2 linked regions of the Alligator mississippiensis genome follow. The protein of the gene in region 2 purifies or fractionates together with the protein of the main gene of each other region. This does not show direct contact. Links are inferred from orthologs where the notes say so. Each region holds a gene or a part of one and is shown on either strand. Other genes may lie near its edges.

Region 1 (7,671 bases), on a different chromosome or scaffold from region 2:
TCAGTCTCTTGTGTGAGAACCGTCTGGGGAAAGGCTGGAGCAGGCTGTGGAGCAGACCCTGCAGCAGGCGGTGGGGACTAAGAGAGGCTGAGGCAGGGAGGACTGTCAGGCCAGGGTAAATCTATGGAGGTGGAAATGCCACGCAGAAGGCAATTTATAGGGTGTGTTTGGTCTTCTGCTCTGGGGTGAAATTCCCCAGACATTCAGCAGAAGCCTTAAACAAACAAATGAAAGTTTACCTGAACAGACTTGAAAGAGGTTATGAAGGGGAGCATAAGATGGAAGCCGGGTCCGCTGGTTGATGTTAGCAGCGCACCACCTCTGCAGGAAGAGAGAGAAGGACAGAACGGGGCTGCATCAGAATAAGTTGCTAATACCGTAAGTGAAGCACGAAAGTACAGATTCACTGAAATGATAAACCAGCCTTGCCCTTCACTCCCAGAGCACTGACAGACACCTGAGTATTTGTAAGCTGTGCCTGGATAGCTTCCTCCTCTGATTTAAGTTCACAGCAGTTTGTGCTCTGTGAATACACAAATGCTCACAGATGTTTTAAACAAGGAAGCACTGGAGCCGCATGCGTTCACCCTGCCTTTGATAAATGGAAAACTCCTCTTGGCAGTTGGTTTTCCTTTACCACAAACTGCATTCAGGCCCCTCGGTATCAAACACGCCTCTCCTCCTGTGACATGGCAGACATAGCGGGTTTGAAAATCTCTTCACAATTGCACTCAAAACCCAACTACAATAAATACGAGCAGTGAATCCTCCAACCACTGACTGACAGGCAGAAAGCCTGCCAGCTTCAGAAAGCGGATGGAGGCCGAATAAAGGCAACTGATTAAAAACAAACAGCTAGATACAGTACACTGCATAGGAACCTTTCTCTTCTGAATCATTACTACAGAACCAGCCCAGGCTGGAGGGAACCAGAAGTTATTAGTGCTCGAGGGCTGTCCAGCGAGTGGGGAGACAGTCTTGAGACAGATTCCAAAGGACAAGCAATCATACCACAAAACATCACTGCACTTAGCACTACTCTGCCCTCTCACCAGCAACCACAACGGAGGGTCTGAGCAATGAGTGAACCACAGGAAAGATCCTCCCAAGTCAGGGCTAAGAATACAGGGAAGGCGGCTTTGCACTGCCAGTGTTGCATCTTATCTGCCAACAGAGTGAAGGTGTGGGGGGCTGCGGGTGTGCGTGTGGGGTTTGGAGCCCAGGAAAGGAGCTCCAACGTCCTGGAAGGATGCAGGGTACTGTGGGTCAAGAGAGAGGGGCAGCAGCAGGGGGTAGGGGGGCTGTGATTTGGGAATGAGGGGCAGACACACAGAGACCCAGACACAGATAGCACCCAGCTGGTAAGCAGAGGGGAAGGGGCGAAGTGGGGTACAGATTGGGGCTCCCACAGCAAGGGAGGGAGTGGAGCAGGGGCTGAGGTGAATGGAACCCTAGGGCCGGGGCAGGTTATCGAGTGTTGTGATGGGGAGCACCTCTCCACAGCTGCACGCACCCCGAGGGGAGGCATGGGGGCATGTGCCCTCTATGGGGCAGAGGCAGGCTGCCCGCTGCCGGCTCAAGGCTCTGTACCCTGCTGCCTTTGCTCCAGGAGCAGCGCAACACCACTGCTGCCCGCTGGGCAGGCAGGGGATGCGGGGCGCACTGGCTACACAGTACGTGCCCTGCCTGCCCAGTACCAGGAAACATACTGGCATCACATGGCTGAGCTCCCAGGGCAAGGGCAGCAGGGCACAGAGCCCCAGCCTGCCTCTGCTCTATGTGGGGCATGTGCCCCTCATGCTTCCCCCAGGGATACACACAGCTCCAGGGAGCCATGCCCCCTCCCTCCACACCTCTGGATGACCTGCCCCAGCCTCAGGGCCCCATTCATCCCAACCCCTGCCCAAGTCCCTCCCTCACCACAGGGGCCTCAATCTGTGGCAGCCCCCCCTCTACGGACTGACCAGCTGCGAAAACTTGGAGAGTTCAGGGTGTGATTGGGAGATCATGAGTCGGAACTATTTTGATTTAGAAATCGCGAGTCTCGCAATGTCTTCATGAAGGTTGGCATTATTGCATCAGGCCTGCTGCTCTCACCAGCGTGCTGCTATTCCTTTCTTCACACAACAGCTTGCTGAGACCAGAACTTGAACTTCTGGTGTTTCTGCTAACGCTACTGATAACATCAAAAGCTTTGGAGCAGAGCAGAGCTGAAAGCCTCCTGCCAATTTAAGTCTTAGGCACTTGTCATCCACTCTTCTGTGGACAGCAATGATGACTGAACTCAGACTTTATAAGATACTGGATTTCTGGCGATTAAAGCTGGACACATCCTTACTAATTTGGGAGTGCAAATGTTATCTTTTCCTCCTTCTGCCCCAGTCGACCAGCATATTGTCTTCAGATAAGCAATCTCCAGGACAGCAGCTTCAAAACACCATGACACCAACCCCCCCCCCCCCCTTTTTTTTTTGCAGGCCTCTTACCTATAATAAACGCCAATATGTCCTTCTTCAATTTTGTGTATGGCAGAGAAGAACGCCGCAGCCACAAAACTCACAGTCACTGCTGCTATAGCACCTAACTGAGCCATCCCTGAGAGTAAGCCCTGAGGTAACAAAAAGGAGGACACGCATGGTCACAGCTGGACATGAAGGGGAGAGGTTTATTACAGGCAGGGAGCTGAACAGCAACAGAGGCAGGACTCTGCACTCCTGCTTCGCTGGCGTTTCTGGGCGGTCGGGGCTTCCCCAGCTTGACCAACAGGGACAGCAGAGCTAACGCAACCCCCATTGCAAAGCGACTATAATGCAGGGAGCGGACGGAGCCCGGGAGTCCTGCCATGACCCCTCTCGCTCTTGCTTGGCTTTGTGCAAATAACCTTTGCTTCCCGCCCTCCCGTGCCAGGGCTGCAGCTCTGCAATCACCCAGCCAAACATTAGCCGAGGTGCGTCCCAAACCCCGTCCTCGGCCTGCGCAGCGAGGCCGCGTACCACCGGTGCCTCCTAGCTTGCCCCTGCACAGGGGAGGGGGCTGCTCCAGGCCGGACGTCCTGAATGAGGCAGGGGCTGGGAGGCCCAGGCCTTGTCTCCCCCCAGCCCCAGGCAGCAGGCAATAGGGCTGCTAATCTGCGAAGAGGATCCACCCCAGGGCTGGCCACTAATCCTGGCCCCAGCCACTGCCCCCGTGCCCTTGGGCTGCCCAGGCCGGGGGGCGGGGACACGTGCTCTCCCCAGGCCCGCAGGGCCCACACTCACCGCCTCCTGCCGCAGCGCTTCCGGGTGTCGCGCCGGTGACGCCATCACTACGCGCCGCGCCGCCCCGCCCAGCCCAGCCCTGCAGTTCCAGCGGCCGCGCCTGCAGGGGGCGCCAAAGCTCCACCTCCGCCAGGACCCGCGGGAGCGCGCCCCGCCCCGCCCCGCCCCGCCCTGCCTGCGGCCCGGTGCTGCTGCTGGGGCTGGCCGGAGGGGGGCAGCAAAGCCCGGCCAAAATGCACCCCCGGCTTTAGGGGCAGGGGCGCTGGGGCACCTAAAGTCATCTGCCTCCCTGGCTGCTTGCATGGAGGGGCCCCTGCCAGGATCCTGCCCCTCCAAGCCAGCTGTAAGCTGCAGGCACCACGGCTTGAACCTCTGGGTTTATGTACATGTAGGTGTGTGTATAAATAAAAAAATATATTTTGAAAACTTTTTCAAAATATAAACTAAATACACATACATATACATACACACACACACACGTGTGTGCACACACCCATATCTATACACATATACCTACACACACACATATGACCTGGAGAGGGTTCAGAGGAGGGCCACTCATCTGGTTAAAGGCCTACAGAAAACCCGCTACGTGGACCGATTGGGAGACCTGGACCTCTTCAGCCTCCGCAAGAGGAGGCTGAGAGGTGATCTCAAAGCCGCCTACAAACTCATGGTGGGGGCAGCAAGAAATAGGGCAGGGGTGGGCAAAATGCAGCCCGGGGGCTGGATGCGGCCTGCCAGGCCATTCTATCCAGCCCGCGGGGCCCCTAAAAAACTTAGAACATGAATATTAATCTGCCCCTGGCTGCCTGTCATGCGGCCCTCGATGGCTTGCTAAAACTCAGTAAGTGGCCCCCTGTCCAAAATAATTGCCCGTGCCTGAGATAGGGGATACAATGTTTACCAGGGAGCCTGTTGGTGTAACCAGAAATAATGGCCACAGACTGAAGGAGAGCAAATTCAGATTGGACATCAGGAAAAAATTCTTTAGAGTGAGGGTTGCCAAAATATGGAATAGGCTTCCAAGGGAGGTGGTGCTGTCCCCTTCCTTGGAGGTGTTTAGAAGGAGATTGGACAGACACCTGGCTGAGGTCATCCGACCCCAGCACTCATTCCTGCCCAGGGCAGGGGGCTGGACTCGATGATCTAATAGGTCCCTTCTGACCCCAACATCTATAAAACTATGAAGTCTATGAAGCTATATACACATATATCTACACACACGCACACACACACATGTGCGTATATATAGATACATTTTTCCCAGGTGTCCCAGGTCAAATTAGCCAGATCGCTTCTGAATCCTTTGAATTGTTCAAAAGCCTTACGTGGTCGTATTACCCACAGGTATCCTCCACTGCAGACTTCCAAATCCTTCGGCAGGCATCCTACATTCAGGCCCAGGCCCAGAGGTTTGGGGTTTGGATGCCCCTGAGTTTCACTTGCCCTCAGCCGTAGGGCCGCAGGAGCAAGCTAGGGAGGAGTCTTCCATTGCCATCGGGTTGGGGTGTAGCCAAGGTCCTCCTGCTGGAAGCTGGCCAGTGGGAAGCTAACTGAGAGGCTCTTGTAGGGAGTCCTGTTTGCATGCAGATGGGGGCGCACCCTCTGCTACACAGTGCCATTTTAAAATGCATTTTGGCTCAGGTATCAGACCAGTGCAGCAACAACTACACTTGATCCTAGCCCAGAAAAGGCTGAGAACTTCTGTCGTCAAGTGTTCAGCAAAGGGACCTACCTGCTCTGCCTTTTCCCTTCCCTCTGTTGCGGTGTTTCATCAGGCAGTCAAGTTAGGAGGATGTGTGGGGTCAGAAGATCGGCCAAGCAAAGAACCTAATAACTGCCATGGGCCGGGCCAGATCCTAGCCTAGGTCCGTGGCAGCCAAGAGTGCACACTGAAAGGCAGTGGAAACAGGGTCCACCCAATGTTTTCTTGTGCTGCTCCTCTCCCATTTGCCGCCTCCGGCACTGATGGTCTGGGAAGCTCTGATTCAGACGTGGTGCCCCTTGCTCCCGTGCTCAATAGCCCCTTTCCTTGAAGAATAGGAGGGCGTGGGGCTTCGAGGACTAAGTGTTACCTAGCGTGTGGGAGGGTCTGGCTTCTAGTCCCTAGGCCTGCTGAAGCTCCCTTATGGCAGCCCTGTTCATTTTATCCAATGCATGTAAAACACAGGGGCCAGGGCCAGAACCTGTGGCCCACTGTTTTCCAGGACAGTGCCCCCCTTTGCTTATCACGCTCTCTAGAGCTTGTTTATTTCCTAGCCCCATATATCTTCCCTTCGTAGCTCCCCAGGGAAGCAATCTTGACAGGAGGCCACCTGGGACAATGCCAAACCTATGGCCTGCTGTTTAGGGCAATTTCCTGCAAAAGACACCGCAGATTCAAGCCTCCCTATTGGTGATGGGCAGGGCGGGTACCACTTCTGCAAAAGCCGCAGAGCTGCAATTCCTGTTCCAGGTGGGACAGGACTGCAGGGAGCATGGAGAGCGTAGGATCCAAACACCTGTGCAGATTTCACACCTACCTGCTGATAAGTAAGGGCTGCATTTGGGCCTTTGCTGGCATGTTACAGGGTGTGACAGCTGGTTAGCAAAGTCAGGGCTCCCGGGATACTGAGAGAACCGCAGAGCCTGCAACCTGGGAGAAGCCTGCATCCCAAAGTGAGCCTGGGGTTAGGCACAAAACCTGCCTCTCTTTTCCAAGTCCTCTCTATACAGGAGAGATTTCAGCAAGTTTTCTTAGGAATCAAAAACTCCTTAACTCCCCCTGATGGACACTAATCCAATGTCAGTCTCCAGCTGCAAAGTGGCTGTTAGACCGTGTCACAAATGCCGAGCCTCTCTTTTATTCTGGGTTTGACAAATCTGTAGGTGATTTAAAAAATCTGTTCCCTATTTAGATGCCTGTTGGGCCAGGCGGAGGAGCCAGAATGGGGAAAGTGACAGACCATGCAAAAATCTATTAAATCTTCTGCTTCTATAATTGTTGAAGGGGACTTAGAAAACATAGAAAAGACATATAAAATGTCAATAAAGGAGAATAATTTGATCTTTACACTCGATAGATCTCTAAGCATATATATTACAAACCTGTCAGAAGAATTCAGCGCCGTTCAGAAAGAAGGAATGAAAGAGCCATGATATTTGTCAATCCAAATTTTACAGCCTTTAAATAAGTGCAAAAGGGCGCCTGTGATGAAATATGCCCTGCATTAGATGTTTTAAATGCTTGCCCAGATTTAAGTCCTTGATAAAATGTATTAAATCTTTAAAGGTTTTAATGAATCTAGTATGTGTTTCATAAATCAAGAACCTCTGCTCAGCCCCCTCTCAGTTTAATAAGGGTAAACTAGGAAATTGCTTTGAGCTGAAGCAAAATGCATTCGTATAATATTGGAAAGTAATAGATTTTTAAATGCAGGGTGTTTTTTTGGCTGGCAGATGAGGTTTTGCTTCATAACACTCAAGCCTATATCATTACTCTAAATGGGAAACCATCTGTGGCCACGTGCTTAACAGTATCAAGATGTGAATTTGCACAAAGGTAAATATTATTTGTAATAATCCCAGAAAAAAATAGCCAAAAAATCATTACTTTGAGACCCCAGGCCAGGAACGTTCGGTGGTGTCTGCTACAGATCTCGCTGGCTTTTAACAGCTTGGGTTTTTTTAGGTTAACAAATGGTTCATTACAGCCACTTCTCTCCAGCACTCGAGAGCTTTCTTTGCAAGCCTCGGCTCCTCGGTGCCCTGTAGAAGTGCAGCCAGGATAAAAATATTCTGTGGGTTTTACTGCAAAGCTAATTGAGACAAGTTTGAAGGTCTTTGAAATCTGCTTGTTAACGCCATTGTCTCCAGCCTGTCTGCAGGAGGGGCAAGAAAGTCACTCCCCTTTTAATAAAGGTGCAATATTTTATTTCATTACCTTTCCCCTCGCCCTTTACAAGCCCTGGCTATAAAAGCATGAAAGGGAAGGCTTGATAATGGATTATAACAGGTGGACAAACACCGTGTTAAAAGTGAGTTGGCTCTTTGTCTATTGTCTTAGGGGAAACCAAACATTCTTTGCTCTTTGTGTACGAAAGCTTGCGGTGTTGTTAAGCTCTGCGGGAGACAAACTGGGGGCCCCATAAAGTGCTGTGTAAAAGTCTGTCTAACCTCATTAACTGTCACAAGTAACAATACCGAGCTGGCAATAAAGGCAATTTCAAGCCTGTTGGTCATTAATCACCGCTTGACAGTTTTGAATAGAGGTGGAAAAACTGTGTCCCCACGGCTCCTGCTTGGGAGTTTAAGGTTACCTCCATGCGTACCATACGTGGCGGACGCGTTATTGGGAGACGCGGGGACATCGGTCAATAATAACAATAGCATCATGCGGCAGGAATCTCACACTGTCAAGCGAGCTATTAAC
Region 2 (7,923 bases):
CTCTCACCCACATACCCATTACTAAGAAACAGCCACTAGCACATCTAATATACAAGCCCCAGCGTCACTCCATCTCACGTAGGATCTCCAGATCCCTTCTGCCCTCAGAAGCATAACCCCTACCAGGACATACCTGTGAATGCTTTCCACCTCACAGAACTGCAGCATGCTTTGCCAACAAATACATCAACTCTACCTCAAGACATGGGAGAGAATCGTGGGAAAAAAGCAGCATAGACAACTCTGGCAGCACTCTCCACGTTTTTTTGCCCACAGACCATAACTACAATTCATAACACAGCCTATTCTACTTGCTGATCTCAGTGCACCATTGCCATTGAATAGGGTTTGTCCAAGGACAGTACGACCTTGCCAAACAGATGCCTGGCTCCAGCATTAGTTCTTGAAGAAGCAAACTGACAAGGTGTTAATTATTTCTGAACTCTCTTCCCCACCCTCTCCTGACCGTATGTAAAAGTAGCTGGTTACAGAGAAAAAAAAGCCATTTCCCACACTTTGGCTCCTCCCTCATGTTTCAAAGGCAAACTGAAGCTAATCACACTGTTTTGTTGACTTCCTCCCGAGTACCAGCATAAAAGGGGTCCAAACAGCTCCATATTTCAAGAGTTAACGATTGCTGCACTACCAGCAGACGGAAAACACTTTCATGTAAACAGGCCGGGTCTAATGTCAGCGGTGGAATGGCAGATTGAAGAGAAAAAACAAACTGGATTATTCATCCAATAAAGACCATGTCAGAAGGTCAGATTCCCAGGTGGGCCCTATTTGAGGGCTGCTTTGAAAAAACAAGGAAGCAGTTCTCAAACTTCATCCAGCACCCCCCCACCAACTCAGTCTGTCCTTTGCTGCTTGGCATATGCCAAAGTTACCCACATACAGAACCCCTGCCCACACCGCCGCTTTCCACTGACCGACTCGCTCCGCTCACATCTCCTTTGACAACAAGCGAAGCTCGGAGAAATATGCCCTGTGTGTCATATCAGATCTCCTGAAGGCAGCGCTCACAGCTATTGTCAGTATTGGCCAGGCAACTGGTGTGAGGCCACTGGCACTTCACTGTAAGCATGCAGCATTGTTACCCACCGAGCACACAGGAACAGCGTACTTGATGACCATTTACTCTGACCCCCTGAGATGAGTTTCAAGCAAAGCAGTGCTTAAAACAAAACAATGGACAATGCCCATTTCATCATCCACAGAAGTGCATTTCTTTTGTCCTAGGCAGGTTAAGTCTCAAAGGGTGCATCTTGCACCCCTTGCACTCTGGACTTAGCAAGAAAACAAGAAGGGTGCAGAATTAAGGGCTTTGAACCATAGGCTCCTGGGGAAGGCATGCCATGCACACACCTGTTGAGAGAAAATTTATCTGCTGCCTTATCAAAAACAATAAGGGCATGTCTTGACCGCCCCCAGACCATAGTAGTATAGTCCTCCAGCAAGGGGCCAGAAGCATTCAAGTATGCCCAGACACAACAATTACTGCAAAGGCCCAGGACCCCTAATAGTGGCCACAGTGCATCCCCCCTCCCTGGGTAAGACACATGGAGCAGGCAGGTTGTGAGCACAGTCCAGGCACAACAGATATGCCCAGTGTTGGAAGAAGACAGGGGATACCGAACAACCCTGAGCAAAGCCTTCACTTCTCCAAAATTCACATCTCAACATGTCTGCTTTTCATTTGGAAATGGACTCCCTGTGCCCCAGCAGCCAGATTTTAGGAAGTCTGTCACATCTGGAGTCCACAGGCCGTTGTCTTTCTGATTTGCTACTTTGTCCTACAGCACAACCCACTGCACATACCCAGGCTGTGGGACTGGATGGCAAAATTATTTGATGCAGCCATGAGAACGGTGTGTCTGTGTCAGGGGGCCAGGCCTAACCCTGTACTGTTCCACTAAACTGGCTGTTACATACTTAGTACTATACAGGAAAGTCCCCCCCCCCCCCCACTTCCTCCTAGGAGACCACAAGCTGTTGCATTAGACCAGATGTAATATCTCCACATGTTCAGAGGAACGACAGGACGGGACTTAAACAAGCAACCAAATCCAAAAATGTCCAAAGTAGCTAGCAAATAATTAGGCTTTTATCAACAGGATGCAAAACAGCAGAGAGTTGCGAAGCACTGGATTTCTTCCCCGACCCCCTCCCTACCCTCCTTAAGTCTAGTTATTGTAGTCCAGGAAACCACTAAATATTTAGTACTTGTGGGTGGATATTTTGGAGGGTCGTGGTTACAACTGCCCAGCATTTGACCATTTAAAGAATATGATCGTCTATAGCCAAGTTCTCCAATAGCATTCATGTGTGTTTACATAATACAAAACATCCCTATAACTCCGTGTCAAGCATAAAAAAAGCTATAAAAAGTTAGTTCTAACACATTCCCCCTAAACCATCGTGGCAGAGGCGCAGGCCTCACCCAAATCCGAGTCCCTTCAAGCTTAAGATGGTCTGAAAAAAGAAATCTCATGTACTTGGGTTGTTTTCTGAAGGCAGGGCGGGGGAGAAACAGCCGAGCTGAAAACATGCAAGTTACATCCGTCTCATCCAGAACCACTTGACTTCAGGCAGCATTTTTTGTTTCCCCCCACCCAATCAACTAAAACGGTTTTCCAGTATACAAACGCAGTGATTTATTGGGCTGAGAAAGGGACTGCTGGATCTCCCCCAAGCTCGGCTCCTGCCTCCGCCGCGGATCCCGTCTGCCCAGGACACGGCACGTCTCTCGCCCGGGCTCCGGATCCGTGGACGGGGACTCGCAAGAATCCAACATCTCTGCCCGGGAAGCAAGTTCAGCTCACATAAACAAGCGACTTCCTCACACTCCTCCGCTCGCGCCAGCGGCCGCGCGTCCCCGTTACACGCGCCCCGTGTCATCCCACTCCTGCTTTTCCTTCCGTGTCCCCACATCTAGCCCTCGACACCCCTCGCCCTGCCAGGAGGAGCCGGACGCTTCAGCCCACGGCCGCCCGCCCGTCTCCTGCCCTCGGGCCTAGCCCACCTGTGCAGCCCGCACCTGCAGCCCAGCCCAGCCCAGCCCGAGCAGCCAGGGCCCCAGCCCCCACTGCAGCAGGGCAGCTGGACCAGCCCCAGGGACGAAGCGGCAGGAAGGAGAAGGACCAGGGGCAGCGGGCTGTGCCCAAAGCATCCCCCGGGGAGCTCTCCCCGCCACGTGCCCGCCACCGGGAGGATGCCCGTCCTACCTGCTCAGCAGCCACCCGGCGCTGCCATGCTCCCGCCCGCCCCGCGCCGCGCGCCGCCCGCACACATGCTGACTGCGCCCGCCGCCGCGCTCCGCGCCCGCTTATATGTGCGCGCCGGGCGCCTGGGTAATGTAGTCCCGCCGCGCCGCCCCGCCCCGCCCCGCCCCGCCGCACCACGGCACCCCCCACCCCATCACGTACAGCTGGCACCGGCACCAGGAGACCCCCCCCCCCCTCCAGCCGTGTCCCTCTAAGTGTAACCAGAAGTCCTCCCAGGTGTGGCTGCCACTGGCACCAGCAGACCCCCCAGCAGTGCCCCTCCAGGTATAGCTGGCACTGGCACTAGACCCCCCCCAGCAGTGCCCCCCTCCCCAAAAATAGCTGGCATTAGCACCAGAAGACAACCCAGCCATGTCCTCCAAGGTATAGTTGCGTACTGGCACCAGAAGACTCCTCAACAGTGTCCCCCCAGATGTAACCAAAAGACCCTCTCAGCAGTGTCCCCCCAGGTATCACTGGCACTGGCACTAGAAACCCCCCTCAGGAGTGCCCCCCCCCCAAAAAATAGCTGGCATTGGCACCAGAAGACAACCCAGCCATGTCCTCCAAGGTATAGCTGCGCACTGGCACCGGAAGACCCCTCAACAGTGTCCCCCCAGATGTAACCAAAAGACCCCCTCAGCAGTGTCCCCCCAGGTATCACTGGCACTGGCACCAGAAGACCCCCCCAGCAGTGTTTCCCCAAGTGCAACCAAAAGACCCCGCAGCAGTGTCCCCCCAGGTACAACCAGAGGACCCCCCAGCATTGCCCCCTCCCCGGTATAGCTGGCACTGGCACTAGACCCCCCCCCCAGCAGTGCCCCCCTCCCCAAAAATAGCTGGCATTAGCACCAGAAGACAACCCAGCCATGTCCTCCAAGGTATAGCTGCGCACTGGCACCAGAAGACTCCTCAACAGTGTCCCCCCAGATGTAACCAAAAGACCCTCTCAGCAGTGTCCCCCCAGGTATCACTGGCACTGGCACCAGAAGACCCCCCAGCAGTGTCCCCCCAGGTATAGCTGGCACTGGCACTAGAAACCCCCCTCAGGAGTGCCCCCCCCCAAAAAAAAAATAGCTGGCATTGGCACCAGAAGACAACCCAGCCATGTCCTCCAAGGTATAGCTGCACACTGGCACCAGAAGACCCCTCAACAGTGTCCCCCCAGATGTAACCAAAAGACCCCCTCAGCAGTGTCCCCCCAGGTATCGTTGGCACTGGCACCAGAAGACCCCCCCAGCAGTGTTTCCCCAAGTGCAACCAAAAGACCCCGCAGCAGTGTCCCCCCAGGTACAACCAGAGGACCCCCCAGCATTGCCCCCTCCCAGGTATAGCTGGCACTGGCACCAGAAGACCTCCCCCCAGCAGTGCCACCCCAAGTGTAACCAGAAGACCCCCCAGCAGTGCCCCCTCATGTATAGCTGGCACTGGCACTAGAAAATCCCCCCAGCAGTACCCCCCACCCCCAGAAATAGCTAACATTGGCACCACAAGACCCCCCCAGCAGTGTCTCTCCCCAGGAAAACCGGCATTGGCACCAGAAGATCCCCCCAGCTGTGTGCCTCCAGGTGTAACCAAAAGACCCCCCAGCAGTGTCTCGTCCCCCGCCCCCGCCAACCTCACCCCCAGGCGTGGCAGCCGACATTGGTACTAAAAATGTATCTATCCATCTGCGTGTGGTCCTGTGTCATGTGCGTGGGAGGGTCGGAGCGGTGGTGACGAAGCCCACAGCACCGTTGTCTGCCTGGGTGGGTTCCTGGCGTGCAGCTGGAGAGGCATCACAGCTGCCAGAGAGCTGGGCGGCAGAAAGGCGCGGTACCTGCTGGAGATGGGTGCTCTGCCATGGGGCACCATCTTGGGCAATCTTGGTCACCAGAGGATGTCCCCACCACTCCCGCATTGGTAGGAGCCAAAGGGCAATGGCTCAGGAGCAGTGCTGCAGAGGCAGCCTGCAAGGGTAACACCAGGCTTCAGACTAGCGTGGCTCGCTCTGTCTCATATGAGAAGCAGCAGCAGGGCGTTGAGGTTAGTTCCTCGGCAGGACTTCTTCAATTGGCCCAGCTCTAAGAACAAGGTCCTCGTGGTCTTTCAGCTTCCAGGGTCGTCCTTGCATCTGAAAAGCGATCTCTAGTGTTTGTGCCTCACACAGCCTTACCAGTAAATGAAGATTCTGCGGGCCAGATTGGACTGACGGGGACACCGGTATGACCACATCTTTTCCCCCTTACATCACATAGGTGGGAGCAGAATGGCCTTGGAGCTAGAGGTTATACCGTGTCTACTCCAGAAAGTGATGCAACCATCTATCTGACAGCTTACAACAGGTGCTGTGGCCCTGTCACCAGTACTGTGCATCTTTCTGCTGTGTCCTCGTTACATATAGTTTAATTGTGAAAACAATAATGCAGGTCTCACAGTGTCCGGTCCCTTCTCCCATCCCTTTCCAATGCAATGAATTGCCAGTTACTTGTGCAGTGTGGAAGCTGCTTGGGGCCAGCACCCCACAATTTTACTCTGTGTGCATTAACATGCTGTGCGTGCACAAATTTTGCTGGCTGTTGCAAGCAGTCACTGACCAGCTGAAACATTTCTAAGCAGGAGTAGCAAGCATTGTGACTCAGATGTGATCCAACAGTGGTCACATAACTTTTAGATGAGGAATGCCACAATTCTGGAGTTGTGCGCCAAGCTCAGCCCAGCTCTGTAGTTCAGAAACACCACAGTGAGAGCTGCTTGGACTGGAAAAATGGGTGGTGATTGCACTCAGGACCATGTAACCGTGGTCTGCTACTGTTCAGTGAGCAATTACTTCCAGGTTGGAAAGTCCATGCTGGTGGTTTTTAGGTGTGCAAAGCCATCCAGTGTTCCCTGGTGCATAGGGCTGTGACTGGTAACTGTGCAGGAAAAAACAGGGATTTGGAGAACTGGGATGGATACTACATGGGACTAATAGCCTGATTCTCCTGCCCTTCATGAATCTTCCCTCTCTGCACATATTCAGGAAGCTATTCAAGGTTATTCAGGTGCTGTTGGATCATTGGGAAAAGTTACTGACATTAATGCTAGTTCAGGGGTAAGCTACCCCTGACATGCATTCAAAGGCTTTTTGCTTGGCATGCATGCCTGGGGCAGACAGAGGGTGCCACGAGGGGCTGGATCCTTGTTGTGACAACGCAGCCCTGAGGTGCGCGTGCACCCATCGCCAGCAACGAGCCAAGCTGGGGCTCTGCAGACCCCAGTACAGCTGCTAGCAGCCTCCAATCGCTTCCTGCGAGCAGCCTGGGCTCTGCGGTAGGCATCAGTGGTCTGCCCAGAGCCTGGGCTGATTGTGGCAGGCAGCCAGGAGGCTGCAAGCAGCTGCACCAGGGTCCACAGAGCCCTGGTCTAACTCGTTGCCGGCAGTGTGTGCATGCACACCTCGGGGCAAATGATGGGGAAGGGGCTGGGGCTGCGCAGCCACAACAAGGATCAGGCCCCCCTCCTGGCTGCTCTGCCATCTGCCCCCAGCACGCCAACACCTTACAAATTGAGGCTGTGGGTGTTTTTGGCACTTGTCCCAAAAACATTGCCAACCCCTCTGCTAGCTGGTCAGGGAAAGTGCCTTGTGCTCATGCCTTCAGGAGCAGAGGATTTTACCAAACGATGCAAACAAAGCATTCTTCCTTCATAAGCACATTGCTATTGATAGCATTGATACTGGGGGACTTGGCAAAGCTAGTGATTTAAGGAAGGATTCAGCTGCTTTCAAAACAAGTACAGAATGGCTCTTGAATATTCTTCTGGTCTACTGGATGGACACTACCAGTGCCTCATGACTAGGCTGGTCCTCGATGAGTTAAATATTCCTAGCATCACTGTGTGTGCTGAGTACTGCACAGGAGAAGGCCTCACCAGGTAAGTGGTCTCTTGAATCTGAACCACCAAACAATCACCAAGAAAACCAAACCATCTGCATTCCCAAGGGGCAGTGGACCAGAATCCACTGGACTCATTTGGCTGATAGGGGCCTTAAGTCTTGGAGTGCGTATTTCATTTTCCTTGTTTTTTACTATGTGCAGTTTAGAAGAATGATAATGGCATGTAAACAACCACTATACAAACCTTCCATCATACCTTCTCTGTGCGGAAGGGGGCATGGTGCATCATTTCTCAATAAATCAACTGTTAAGAGTAATAAACACCTTAACTCATGCAATTAAAATGAGAAAGAAAATGGAATCATTCAGTGCAAACAAGGGCAGTCACTGCACAATCTGTGTGCTAAGAACATGAAAAAAAACATGCCAAAAGCATCTTGCCAATGCTTTTGCCAGCCGCATTATGAACGCTTTTCAAATTGCACCCTGAAGGAAAGTGCAAGCTGCTTCGGGAGCAGGGAACACTCAGAGGCTTGTGAACATTTAGCCACAGTTTTCCTTGTTCTGTACAAGCTTGGTCTGGAATGGGCAAGGATGCAGATGATGCCTGTGCCTTGCATTGCCAGTGAGTATGTCTCTGCCAACATGGCACTGACCAGGGGACGCAGAGGAGGTGTGGAGGTGGTCCATTGGCACTTTTGTCAGACAAGATCTCAGTTTGTTACTTCAGAGTTGCTTGGTGAGCTCCCTCATACCCCTCTCTGTTCATCTCCTCCTGCGTCTGCTGCTTGTTCACTCCA

The links.
Region 1: the proteins of ITPR1 (region 2) and ERLIN2 purify together in Homo sapiens (affinity purification with western blotting, with the first as the bait; 4 studies listed by BioGRID). This does not show direct contact. The link is inferred for Alligator mississippiensis from reciprocal best matches to the Homo sapiens genes ITPR1 and ERLIN2.

What each region holds. Positions count from the first base shown.
Region 1 is NC_081830.1:21,399,084-21,406,754, reverse strand, and holds the start of ERLIN2 (erlin-2), read right to left. Parts: upstream 3,317-7,671; 5' UTR 3,303-3,316; coding exon 3,258-3,302; intron 3,229-3,257; exon of another isoform or gene 2,994-3,228; intron 2,609-2,993; coding exon 2,487-2,608; intron 322-2,486; coding exon 240-321; intron 1-239. UniProt on the Homo sapiens protein: Component of the ERLIN1/ERLIN2 complex which mediates the endoplasmic reticulum-associated degradation (ERAD) of inositol 1,4,5-trisphosphate receptors (IP3Rs) such as ITPR1.
Region 2 is NC_081835.1:11,702,100-11,710,022, reverse strand, and holds the start of ITPR1 (inositol 1,4,5-trisphosphate receptor type 1), read right to left. Parts: upstream 3,302-7,923; 5' UTR 3,228-3,301; intron 1-3,227. UniProt on the Homo sapiens protein: Inositol 1,4,5-trisphosphate-gated calcium channel that, upon inositol 1,4,5-trisphosphate binding, mediates calcium release from the endoplasmic reticulum (ER).